Linked DNA regions of Sus scrofa. The protein of the gene in region 3 interacts with the protein of the main gene of each other region in a pairwise test. Links are inferred from orthologs where the notes say so. Each region holds a gene or a part of one and is shown on either strand. Other genes may lie near its edges. The genes, in order: SH3GLB1, EFEMP1 and RIC8A.

Region 1 (3,664 bases), on a different chromosome or scaffold from region 3:
TCTGTTCTGCAAACGTCCACGAGCGCCATCCGGGCGTCAGGCACCAGCGGGGCGCGGGACCTACAAGACTCATTTCACAGGTGCTGTAATTCTACGCTACAACGTCCCCATTTTCTCCTAAAACAAAACGGGGGGTTGGGGTTCTCTCTGTTCTGGAGGCTCAGACCAAACTGCAAACGTGCAGCGGCGCAGCGGCCCCGCGGCGCGCTTCTCGCCGCGAACGCCACCCTCCCTGAGGGGAACGCGCCCAGCTCCCGGCGCGCCCCGCGGCTCGGCGGCCGCGGTCCTGAAGGGGACGCTGTTCCCGCGATAACCTCGGCGGCCGCAGACCTGAAGGGGTCGCTGTTCCCGCGATAACCCCTGTAAAGGCCCCGCCCCGCGGCCCCGCGACCGCGGCCCTGAAGGGGTCGCTGTTCCCGCGATAACCCCCGTAAAGGCCCCGCCCCGCGGCCCGCGCTCGCTTCCTCCGTTGGGGACCCGGCCCCTCGCGGCGCGGACGCCGGCCGCTCTCCTGGAAGCCCACCGCGGCCCCGCCGGCGTTCGCGGCAGCTCCCCCTGAAGGGACAGGCCCTGCGTCCCGGCCGCCGCCGCTCGGGCGCGCGGCCGGCTCCGAGGCGCCGGTTCTCGCCGCCGCCCCGCCCTCCCCCCACGGAAACGACAGCTGCGGCGGGGCCGGCGCCGCCTCCCTCCGACCACGTCCGCCCCCGCCGCGCGCACCCCGCGCCCCAGCCCGGCCGCCGCGCCGCCGCCTCCCGGTAGGTCCGCCGGCCGCCGCGCCCGGCTGCCCCCAGGATGAACATCATGGACTTCAACGTGAAGAAGCTGGCGGCCGACGCGGGCACCTTCCTCAGCCGCGCAGTGCAGGTACCGCGCGGGGGGGAGGGCGGCGGCGCCCGGGGGGCGGGGAGGGGTCGCCGAGGCGGCCGCGCCCGTGGTGCCGGCTTCCGACCGCCCGCGGGCCTGCTGCGGCCGCGGCCCCTGAGGGCGCGGCCTGGTACCCTCTGCGCCCGGCGGCCGTTTTCCTGCCCTCCTGCCCAACCGCCGCTCGGGCAGGCGCCGCGGAGCGGGGCCGGGCCGGAGCCTCCCTTCCTCGGGAGGAGCGGGGCCGGGCCGGAGCCCCCCTTCCTCGGGAGGAGCGGGGCCGGGCCGGAGCCCCGCTTCCTCGGGAGGAGCGGGGACGGGCCGGAGCCCCCCTTCCTCGGGAGGAGCGGGGCCGGGCCGGAGCCCCCCTTCCTCGGGAGGAGCGGGGACGGGCCGGAGCCCCGCTTCCTCGGGAGGAGCGGGGACGGGCCGGAGCCCCCCTTCCTCGGGAGGAGCGGGGACGGGCCGGAGCCCCCCTTCCTCGGGAGGAGCGGGGCCGGGCCGGAGCCCCCTTCCTCGGGAGGAGCGGGGCCGGGCCGGAGCCCCCCTTCCTCGGGAGGAGCGGGGACGGGCCGGAGCCCCGCTTCCTCGGGAGGAGCGGGGACGGGCCGGAGCCCCCCTTCCTCGGGAGGAGCGGGGACGGGCCGGAGCCCCCCTTCCTCGGGAGGAGCGGGGACGGGCCGGAGCCCCCCTTCCTCGGGAGGAGCGGGGACGGGCCGGAGCCCCCCTTCCTCGGGAGGAGCGGGGACGGGCCGGAGCACACCTCGAGCTCGGCCCCGGGCTGCGGCACCTCTCCTCCTGCCTCTCCGACGCCGAGGCCGGGGCCTGGGTGCGCTCCCTCCCGGGCGGGCGGAGCCCTTGCGCGTCCGCGAGGGGCCGGGAGACGGCCGTCCTTGCAGCACCCCCGCCCTGTCCTCCGGGCTCGCTCCTCGCCGGGTCCGAGAAGGAAGTTTGCTTTCCTAACCCTCTGTCGGGACAGCTGCCAGCACAGCGCCCCGCAGTCCTGCGCCCGGCTGCCCGCGTCCGGACTCAGCCAAGGCCGCGGGCTGGGGTCCCACTGGTTTTCAAAGTGGGGAGCACAGGCAGTGGGGCAGCGAGAGAGGGGGTGGGGTTCTTGTCGCGCCTCCAGTCACAGGGACATTTTTCGAAAACACTTTAGGGGGAAAGTTGAGTACCTCGCGTATTCAGAAATTAAGGAAGTGTCAGTCCTGGGAACTCGGGACAGTTTTCTGCAGGCGCCACCCACACTGTGCCACCGCGGGGAAATCTGTGAGCAGGTGTGAATTTCACAGTACGGGGTGTAAACAATCTGGCGTTTTAAGTTAATGGCACAGTCACAGTAGCAACAGCATTCTCTTTTGTAAACAGAAAACAAAAATAGTTTTCTAATGTAACATACCCGGCTGGTACTGAAATGTAAGTCATTGTGAAACTTTACTGCTTTCCTAGTTGCCTTTAGCCCACTTTTTTTGGCATAGTTGACGCTGCACGATGCTTGACTTGTAGAAGAATGGAAGAATTAGAGCAAGACACTAGCTGTTTATTTTAGTGCAAATTCTCAGTGATTCTGGTGCTGAATGCAGATTTGACACTAGGTAATGCCACTTTGAAATAAAGCTGGATGTTTTCGGGTACATAATCCCCACTGCTTAAGTAGGACATACGTATTATGGTTTGATTGAAGTGGTTGATCAACTTCATGTAAAAAATCTGGCACAGCTCTCAAGATGTGCTTCCCACGTTAATTTCAGTTATTCACTGTTTCAAATTCTCTAGGAAAAAGTTTGAAAATTCTATCTTCTGTTAGTTATCAAATAATTTTCAGTCTTAAATACTTCACTGTCTGCTCCACATCCGCATGTTACTGCTGTTTTGGCCAGTAGTGATACAGCAATAAATAAAATCGCCAAAATTTCTGCCCTCCTGGAGTTTACAGTCGAGCGGGAAAAGACAAACTAAGTACATTAGAGAAAAAAGCCAAAAAAGATTAGTTTAGGACAGGGGTGGTGGTTGCTGCTGTTACATGAACATATTGGAAAGGGCAGTTTTTTCTGTTAGGATCAAATTCAGAAAGACCTCAACGAAGTGACACTTCTCCCCTTTTTTTGTTTTTTTGTTTGTTTGTTTGTTTCCTTTGAGGAAAAGCATTTCAGGCAGAGGTAACAAATGCAGGATCTGAGGTTGCAGGGGTGCTAGAGAGACCAGTTAGGGAGTTGTGGCCCTAGGTCAGGCAAAAGGTGATGTGACTTAAATAAGAGGAGGTTCAGAATCTGTCCAGTGTTGAGTGTCATATTGGCTCTGGGTTATGAGAGAAAGATGAGTCAAGGATGACTCTGAGGTTGTGGCTTGAGCCATTTACTAAGAAGGGAAAAATTTCAGGAGGATCAGGCTCCTTTAATGTGTCTTTTTGTATTAAGTCTGTAATATATATTGCGAAATATTTATGTACAAACTATGTCATGTCTGAGAATTGCTTTAAAATATTTCAGAAGAAAAAATGTGGATAATTGAAACAGTATTGGCAAAAGGTTGATACTTGCTGACGCTTGGTTATGGGTTCATGAGGTTTTATTATACTACTATACATTATGTGTGACATTTTCCATGGTTTTTTAAATAAAATATGTAAGGAAAAAGAGGTGGTTGCAAAATGGAACGTGAAATCTGGAATGCTATGTGGTAATTTTCAACAAAATACTGCATTCCCATTTCATTATTTAGTCAGTAACAGAGTTCCTGCTCTAAATTGAGTTGACCTAAGTGTTGTGCCAAAAAGTGCCAAGTTTCATGCTAAGAATAGTGT
Region 2 (3,745 bases), on a different chromosome or scaffold from region 3:
CTTTATTTATCTTCAGCAGAGGAAGCAACTACATTTACCATTAAGTTGACAAAATATTTATACTAAACTCCATTTGATTTATAGTTGATCTGAACAACAAAGAACATTTGCCAGATGAATATTAACATTCTAGGGGTTATATGGTACCAAAAAAGTGAGATAATGTTTATTATCAGTAATTGACATTAGCTCACTTTTAAGAGTTTTATTTTCAAAAATTGTTCACATTCTTTTGAGTAAGATTACTTAATTTTAAATTGGGAGCAAGTAGAAAAATATGTTTCTCATATTCTGATCCAGGACAAATGCCATTTGCCTCACAACACTGATTAAGGACTAGAAAACACAAAACAGAGGTGCAAACAAACTCACAGAAGTGAGGTCAGCACTGCCCTCTGTTATCACCATATCCTCTCCTGGCAGTGGGAGGGGTCAGATGCTGTTTTCAACTTTATTAAACATTGGTTATATCTATTCAATTAACTAATGAATCAAAGGTTACTTGGAAATATTGGATATGCTAATTAGATTATTCAAAGCCAAATTTCACACAATGCATTTTAAACCCATTTTATCAAATACTGCATCCTGGTAACACATAAAGTCTCTTTGGACAGTTGTATATGTCTTATCAGTTATATCATAAATGAATAGCCTTTATAAAGTCAGGAAAACCCATTTACATGAGAACATAGTCACATGCACAAATGAGGAGCTGGGCTTTTGTGATGTTTAACATTCTTATTTGACTTGAGCCCTCCTCCTCATGTTTTGGTTTCATCTGCATATACATGGGATTCAAGCTTTTCCAATTACATTCATCACTTTGCTGAATGTGTAGAGAGCTTGTAGGTTACTTTGGCTTTTGTTTTAAAGGGGTTTACCTTTTTAGCCTTGCATAAATCCTTACATTTTGGTTCCTATCCCAAATGGCGATCTAAATGAACTTTTGGAGGGACCAGCAATTTACAACGAATTTTAAACATGAACTTTCCTAACGTTTGTTTAATTTATTACCCTCCACGGAGAAGAGCCCACATAGACTGGCAGGAATGGACAGTCTTCCTTGTGCCACAGAATTCGCTGAACCGCACTTATCTCAAATTCCATCACCCCTTACCGTGTATGTGATGGTTTCTTCGGTGTCCTGTGACTTGACCAACGCCAGAGTCAGCATAGTTAGGAAAAGGACTTTCAACATCGTGAATCTCAAAGAAAACACGGGACAAACCGATGCTTAGTATCTGCTGCCGGGGAAATATACTTTAGCTGTAAAGTAGCAAGCAAGGTAGAGAAGGCGGAGGAGGCGGAGGCTCCATCATACCCAACTTCCAAACTACTTTCTCATATCCCCTCCCCCACCTCAAGCTTTCCTTGGCCAAAGGCGGCACCAAAGACTGTGAAAGGGTTGCAGAATTACATTCACTTTACTCTGTCGGCTGCGGTGAATATATATAAAGGATGTACAGCATTTTATACTGTTCCTTTGATTCTGCACCTACAAAACAGGCTCCAGAAAGGGGGTGAGAGAGAAAGAATACATGGTAATTCATTTCAAAGGAGAAGGTGCATTTTTTTGCGAGGGCGAAGGTGGAGCAGCAAATCTCATATTCCTTTGAACGTTAAGTCTTTCCTTGTATGCTCACCTCAGCTAGTGAGGCTAGTGAAATTCCTAGCTCAGCTCAGCAGAGATACCTGTGAACCAATATGAATTACCTTGGCCTCAAACTTTTTTTTTTTAAACAAAAGACTGAAACAAATCTCGGGAGCAATCTCCTCCCTTAGTAGAATACCTGCCTTTCAGAGCTCGTTCTTACATTCCTCAGCTCTACTCTCTAAGTGGCATTTCCACGCGTTCTCTGTGCACAGCTTTGTTTAAGAGCCCTCAGTTTTGTAGAAGAGCAGCCCAAAGCGCCTCATTCCCTTGTACCTTATCAATCCCTCTGTCCCTAAAACGCTACCTTCAGGATTGGGTCTGCCTAGGGCCGGAACTGGGGGACCACACCGTGGCCCTAAGTACCAGTTCCAGGGTGGCCCCAGGGAGGCGAGGTCCCCTTCTTAACAGTATGTTAACTGGCGGCCATCCCTGGGGAGCTGCTCAGAGCTCCAGCTTCTAAGCAGCTCCGGTGGAATCCAGGTGCGGCTTAAACCTTACACATTGGCCCCCTAAAACTTTCAAAACCTGTTTATGGGCAAAGCCCTGTCGTCTGATTGTCTGCACGCACACACATGCCCATCCAAACAGATGTCACCCGGTATTCGCACATGTTGACACATCGCATTCCGAGACCGCACACCTCCACCTCCCTCTTTGCCTGAGAGATCCTGCACAACGGGGGAGCAGTTCTCAGGTCCACTGCACCCCTCAGGTCACCCCACTTACTCCTCGGCGCGCAGCCCGGCGGGCGCTTAGCGCGCCGGCGTGACCCCCATTAGGGGCTCCTACCTGCGCGGCCGTGCTGCGCTCCGGGCCCGGGCAGCGAGGGGAGAGAGCAGGGGAGGGCAGCCCCGTGGGTCTGAACTGGCGAGGTCTGGCAGCGGCCGCGGAGGCAGGAGGAGGAGAAAGGGAGGGAAAGGGGAGGAGGAGGAAGAGAAAGGGAGGAAAAGGGGAGGGAGAAGGAGAGAGTTGAGGGAGGCGCAAGGGCTGAGCTGAGCGCTGCAAACCCCGCTGAGAGCGTGCCGCGCAGCAGGGTCCGCGCCCCCTCGTCCGAGGGCCCTCCACCCGCCCGCGCTCACCTGCTGGCCCCTCACCCTTAGTTCTCAGACAAGCTAGAACTTCAGGCGGAAGGTGGCACGTTTGGCATGTGATGTCCGGGGTTTGAATCAGCCTTTGTGATCCTCTAGCCTCCTGGGCGATTTCTCGTGCCCTGTGAGGGTCCTGAGAAATCGCTCCCACCCCCCCACTAAGTGATCCTAAGAGTAAATTAACCCCATTCATAGAACTGATTCTTTCGGTTTTTCTTTAAGATACTTCTTTGGGTTTGGGGGGCGGGGAGTAGAGGAGGGTCTGCTTCTCAGAGGTAGAAAAAAGATCATTCATTCATTCAACAAATATTGTGACTTACTATGTGTCGGGTGTTGGGAATGGGTCAAGTAGAAGTCAGACTTAGAAAATTGTGAAGTTGGGTTGTTTTGGGTCTCTCAAATACCTCTTTTTTAGGAGCCTCTTTTCTCATCTACTACTTCTCTTCCCTCCACTGGTTCACTGTGGGAGCCCCAACACTGGTCATTGAAAGTTGGACATTTCACTCTCACCTTTCATTACTAATGGTGGAATTTCAGGAATCTGGAAAGAGGAAAAGAAAATATTTTTTCTGGCTTCTTCAAATCATACCACACAGATTGTGGTTATCTCTGAAAGCTCCAACTCTAAAGTCAAATTAATAGTTTGCCTCCAGGGCAGTTATGCCTTCTGAAGCAGATACACTTTCATGAATGACATAATATGCAAACCAAAGGTATCAACTCTGACCTCAATGGAGGCAGAGGGTGGGAAGGGCTCCTTGCCCTTCCCCACTGACCTTAGGGAGAAAGACCTTATAGTGTACAAGATGGAGGCTGTCAGGTGGAAGCTTCTCTCCTTTGGGGTATGCAGTGGGTTGCCCAGACCTTGCCAGTTTGGTTGCAGGCCACACAATATTGGACAAGATCAAAGGAGCTTCACAACCCTGAACCTTACTTAGTGGGTGGGGTTTTGCTAATATTGAAGAAATTTGGTACCCAAATTCAAATGCCAGTCATTAAT
Region 3 (3,745 bases):
GGGTGAGAAGGACATCCAGACACTTGAGGGGCAAGTTCCCCAGGAGGTTCACTGTGTGGCTGGGGACACATGGAAAGGAGGGCTGGGTAAACCCAGGCCCCCAGCACAGGCGCAACTCTTGTTGCCCCCTGCTGGGATCACACATGACCCGAACCAGTATCAGGGGCCTGAGTAGCACCAAGTACCAGAGCAGAGGGAGGCCCTCCTTGCAGACATCCCACCTCCCACACACCTGGGTCGAAACAACAGGTAGTCCAAATTGGGACCCGCCCAGGCATAGGTCACAGAAAATGAAAGTGACAACCACACTGCTCTATGGATACCACAGTGTTCAAGGTCCAGTGGCACATTCTGTCCTGAGCTCACAATTCTTGTCCTAGCTGTGTGTTCTAAGTGCTGCAGCTCTGTGGAAACACACCAATGCCTGGTCCCACCCAGTTGGATGAAAACTCTCTCTTTAGGGCTGGAAACCACCATATAGACCTGAGAGCAGACGCCCGCCCCGGTGTGCCCAACAGGCACCACCCTCACCCGTGGAACTCCTCTGTGCGGTCTCCAGCAGCAGTGACCATCACACAGTGCCGCAGCAGGGTCCCCAGGTGCCGGTAAAGTGCAGTGTCTTCCTGACCAAAGAGAAAGGGGTGCCTGTGAGAGAAAGTGCCACTCACCCCCACTGCTGCCTGCTGAACATCTACTGCCTGGCCCACGGCCAGACCTCATGCAGGCCATGCATCTCCTCCACCACACCTGGCTGCTCAGCCTCACTTATGTGACCTTAAGAGCACTCTCGTGGTTAGGGACATCAACAGGTCCCTTTGGGATGAAGTCACTCTGTGCTCTCGCCCCCCGCCCCCCGAAGAATCTCCTACAGCCTGCCCCCACACCACACAGCACTCCTGGTGTTGCAAGAGCCAGATACGCGCTCTGATTCCTCGATGCCCTTATACGGAACGGGCACCTCCCTGCCTCCTCCTGACAAGCGCTGCTGTGCAGATGTCCTCCTGGTCCGACACCCAGAAACTTGAGGGTACCTGGCAGAGAGGCAGGTCCCGGAAGCATCCTAGTTGTTAAGCCCAACCGAAGGCTGAGGCCAGCCCTCACCTCATCCACCTCCCTCTTGATGGAGTCGAAGGTGATGTTGAAAAGCACTTTGAGGATCTCCATGGCCCGTTCGGTCTCCTGGGAAGGAAGGAGTTCCGGGGGTCCCTCTCCAGGGGTCATTCCCAGCGTCAGCTCCAGTGCCTCGGTCAGCAGGTGCACTCCCTGCAGCTCCTCAAACAGCTGCCTGCGCACATCAGTGCGAAGCGCCGTTAGCAAGAAGAGGAGGCGCAAGTCAAAGAACTGGACGTCATGCGGGAAGCTGCTCTGGCGGTACAGTCTCACTCGCTCTGCGAGCCTCACCACTAGCCCCGCCTCTGCGGCGAGCACCTGTGCCACGGAGCTGCTCAGCACGAGGTTGCACAGGCACTTAAGGGACTCGAGCACAACATCCATGTCCAGAGTCTCAGGACACGACCCCTTCGAAGCAGAGATGCCAGCATAGCAGGCAAGCGCTTGCAGGCTCTGGCGGCTGGTGAACGAGTCCAGGCAGCTGCGGTCCCTCGACAGGATGCGGATGCTCTGCAGCCAGATGACTCGGCGGGAAGGTGACAAGCCCTGCTCCAGGACTGAGACCAGCAGCTCCGCCAGTCTCTGTGGGCAGGGGAATAGAGCGGTTCCATCAGGCTCCTCTACCTGGGCCACCCGTCCCTGCCCCTTTACCCTTGATAAGCACCCACCTTCCTGTCCTCCTGTTGGGCATCGTCAAACGTGAAGCTCTGGGAGTTCTGCAAACAGACCCAGAAGATTAGGAGGCACAGGTCCACCGAAGCAGAATCCGAGCTCCAAGGCCGCAGACACCGCTCTCAATAGACAGGGCTCCCTTTCCCCACGGCACCCCCAGCAACTCTTCAAAGACTCGGTGCCCCTCCCCGCCGTGCTCGCCAACACCCTCAGCCTTCCGCCACGCTCACCACTCACACCCTCCCCGCCGGCCACGCGCGCGGGACCCACCCAGCCCCACCTCCTCCCTGCGCGTCCCACGTCCATAGCTCCCGCTCACCTCCCGGTTGTAGGCGCGCAGAGCCTCCATAACCACGTCCTCCTCCCCCGTCTCTATAGCATCCACTACCGCCCGAGGCTCCATGGCGCTCCCGGGACCCCGGCCCGAGGAAGCGGAAGGTACCTCGCTCCAAGGCTCTGGGCCCCAGACGGCCCGCCCGGCCCTAGCTCGGCGCGCGGGGGAGGCCGGGAAGGGGCGTGCGCGGCGCCGCGCGGGCGGGGGCCCGGGCTGCGCGCGGCGCCGCGCGGGGCGGGGGCCCGGGCTGCGCGCGGCGCCGCGCGGGGCGGGGGCCCGGGCTGCGCGCGGCGCCGCGCGGGGCGGGGGCCCGGGCTGCGCGCGGCGCCGCGCGGGGCGGGGGCCCGGGCTGCGCGCGGCGCCGCGCGGGGCGGGGGCCCGGGCTGCGCGCGCCTTAAAGTGGAGAGGCCTAGAAGAGCCCTCGGGAATTTAAAGGCTTTGATGTCTAGTCACGTTGCCTTTCAGTGTCCGACTCAGTGGTTATCCGACCACGGGCCTGAATCGCTCCGGCTCCGAGCAGTGAATTCCCTACGGGAGAGGGCCTTAGCTTCTCACCCCGCTATTACACGCACACTACACCCCTCTTGATGTACAGAACGAATGAGATGTTCCGAGGAAAGACGAAGTGGAAAGGACTTTGCAGCCCCGGGACCACTTTGTTTATTAAGCAGGCGTTTGAGGGCCTACAGCATGCAAGGAACCAGGATGTGGGTGAACAGAACCCACAGGTCCTTGCCTTCGTGGAGCTTATATTGCAGAGGTGAAAACAAAAACGGGAAAACGGGAAGACTTTAAGCAGTCATAGTGCTGTGATTGAAAAAGGGGCCTGATGGGCTCCAAGGGGATTTGAATAAGTGTCGCTTTTGCTGAGACCAGAGGAAGAAGTGAGCCAGGAAGGGATGTGGGGGAAGTTCATTCAAGGCCGAAGGAGCCGGCAGAGTAAAGGTGGGAATGGCCGTTGTAGGAGAAAGAGATCATTGTTGGGGCTGAGAGACAGGGGAGAGTGGGGAGGGAAGGTCCAGGTCAGGATGAAGGCAAAGCCTGATCATGTGCAGGGACTTCCTGGCTGTGTAAGCAGACACATCTTCTGGCCTGGACCCAGTTCCCTCTTTTGAAAAGCAGAGATGATAAAAGGTCCCATTTCGGTGGGTTGTCAGCACTAAACGACACAGAGTGAATGCTCCATTACAGTGGGTGAATAACATATACTCCACCCACTGCGCAACAAGCCTTTGTTGAGCATCTATTTTGTGCCAGACCCCTTGTCAGTGCCCGGGTGCAAGGTCGCAGCACCGGCTCCTCCTGCCCCTAACTCCCCTCACGCTCCCACTCTTCTTCCTGATTTCCCGTTTTCCTTCAAGTGCTTCATCCCTGAGATTTTTGCAGCGCTCGCTTGTTCCAGGCACTGATCCCCTCTTTATCCCGCCGGCAGCATCTGGAGCGTGCTTCACACCGAGTCCTCGCCTTAACCGCACCGCAGCCGGGCGGGCCTCGGACCCCGGGCCGTGTCGCCGCGAGGAGCCTCTCTCGCCTGAGAAAGGGCCGTGAGCTCTTTCCAGTTAGGATTTGACACCGCCTTCGGCAGGAATGGCCGCGGAATTGTCTGTCGGCACCATGATGCTATTAAAA

Evidence for each region.
Region 1: the proteins of RIC8A (region 3) and SH3GLB1 interact in binary tests that used the Homo sapiens proteins (3 or more experiments, as listed by UniProt). The link is inferred for Sus scrofa from reciprocal best matches to the Homo sapiens genes RIC8A and SH3GLB1.
Region 2: the proteins of RIC8A (region 3) and EFEMP1 interact in binary tests that used the Homo sapiens proteins (3 or more experiments, as listed by UniProt). The link is inferred for Sus scrofa from reciprocal best matches to the Homo sapiens genes RIC8A and EFEMP1.

The regions. Positions count from the first base shown.
Region 1 is NC_010446.5:129,392,600-129,396,263, reverse strand, and holds the start of SH3GLB1 (endophilin-B1), read left to right. Parts: upstream 1-792; coding exon 793-864; intron 865-3,664. UniProt on the Homo sapiens protein: May be required for normal outer mitochondrial membrane dynamics. Required for coatomer-mediated retrograde transport in certain cells. May recruit other proteins to membranes with high curvature. May promote membrane fusion.
Region 2 is NC_010445.4:85,406,497-85,410,241, reverse strand, and holds the start of EFEMP1 (EGF-containing fibulin-like extracellular matrix protein 1 precursor), read right to left. Parts: upstream 2,566-3,745; 5' UTR 2,447-2,565; intron 1,209-2,446; 5' UTR 1,202-1,208; coding exon 1,121-1,201; intron 1-1,120. UniProt on the Homo sapiens protein: Binds EGFR, the EGF receptor, inducing EGFR autophosphorylation and the activation of downstream signaling pathways. May play a role in cell adhesion and migration. May function as a negative regulator of chondrocyte differentiation.
Region 3 is NC_010444.4:30,734-34,478, reverse strand, and holds the start of RIC8A (synembryn-A), read right to left. Parts: upstream 2,309-3,745; 5' UTR 2,186-2,308; coding exon 2,102-2,185; intron 1,827-2,101; coding exon 1,779-1,826; intron 1,693-1,778; coding exon 1,102-1,692; intron 624-1,101; coding exon 532-623; intron 60-531; coding exon 1-59.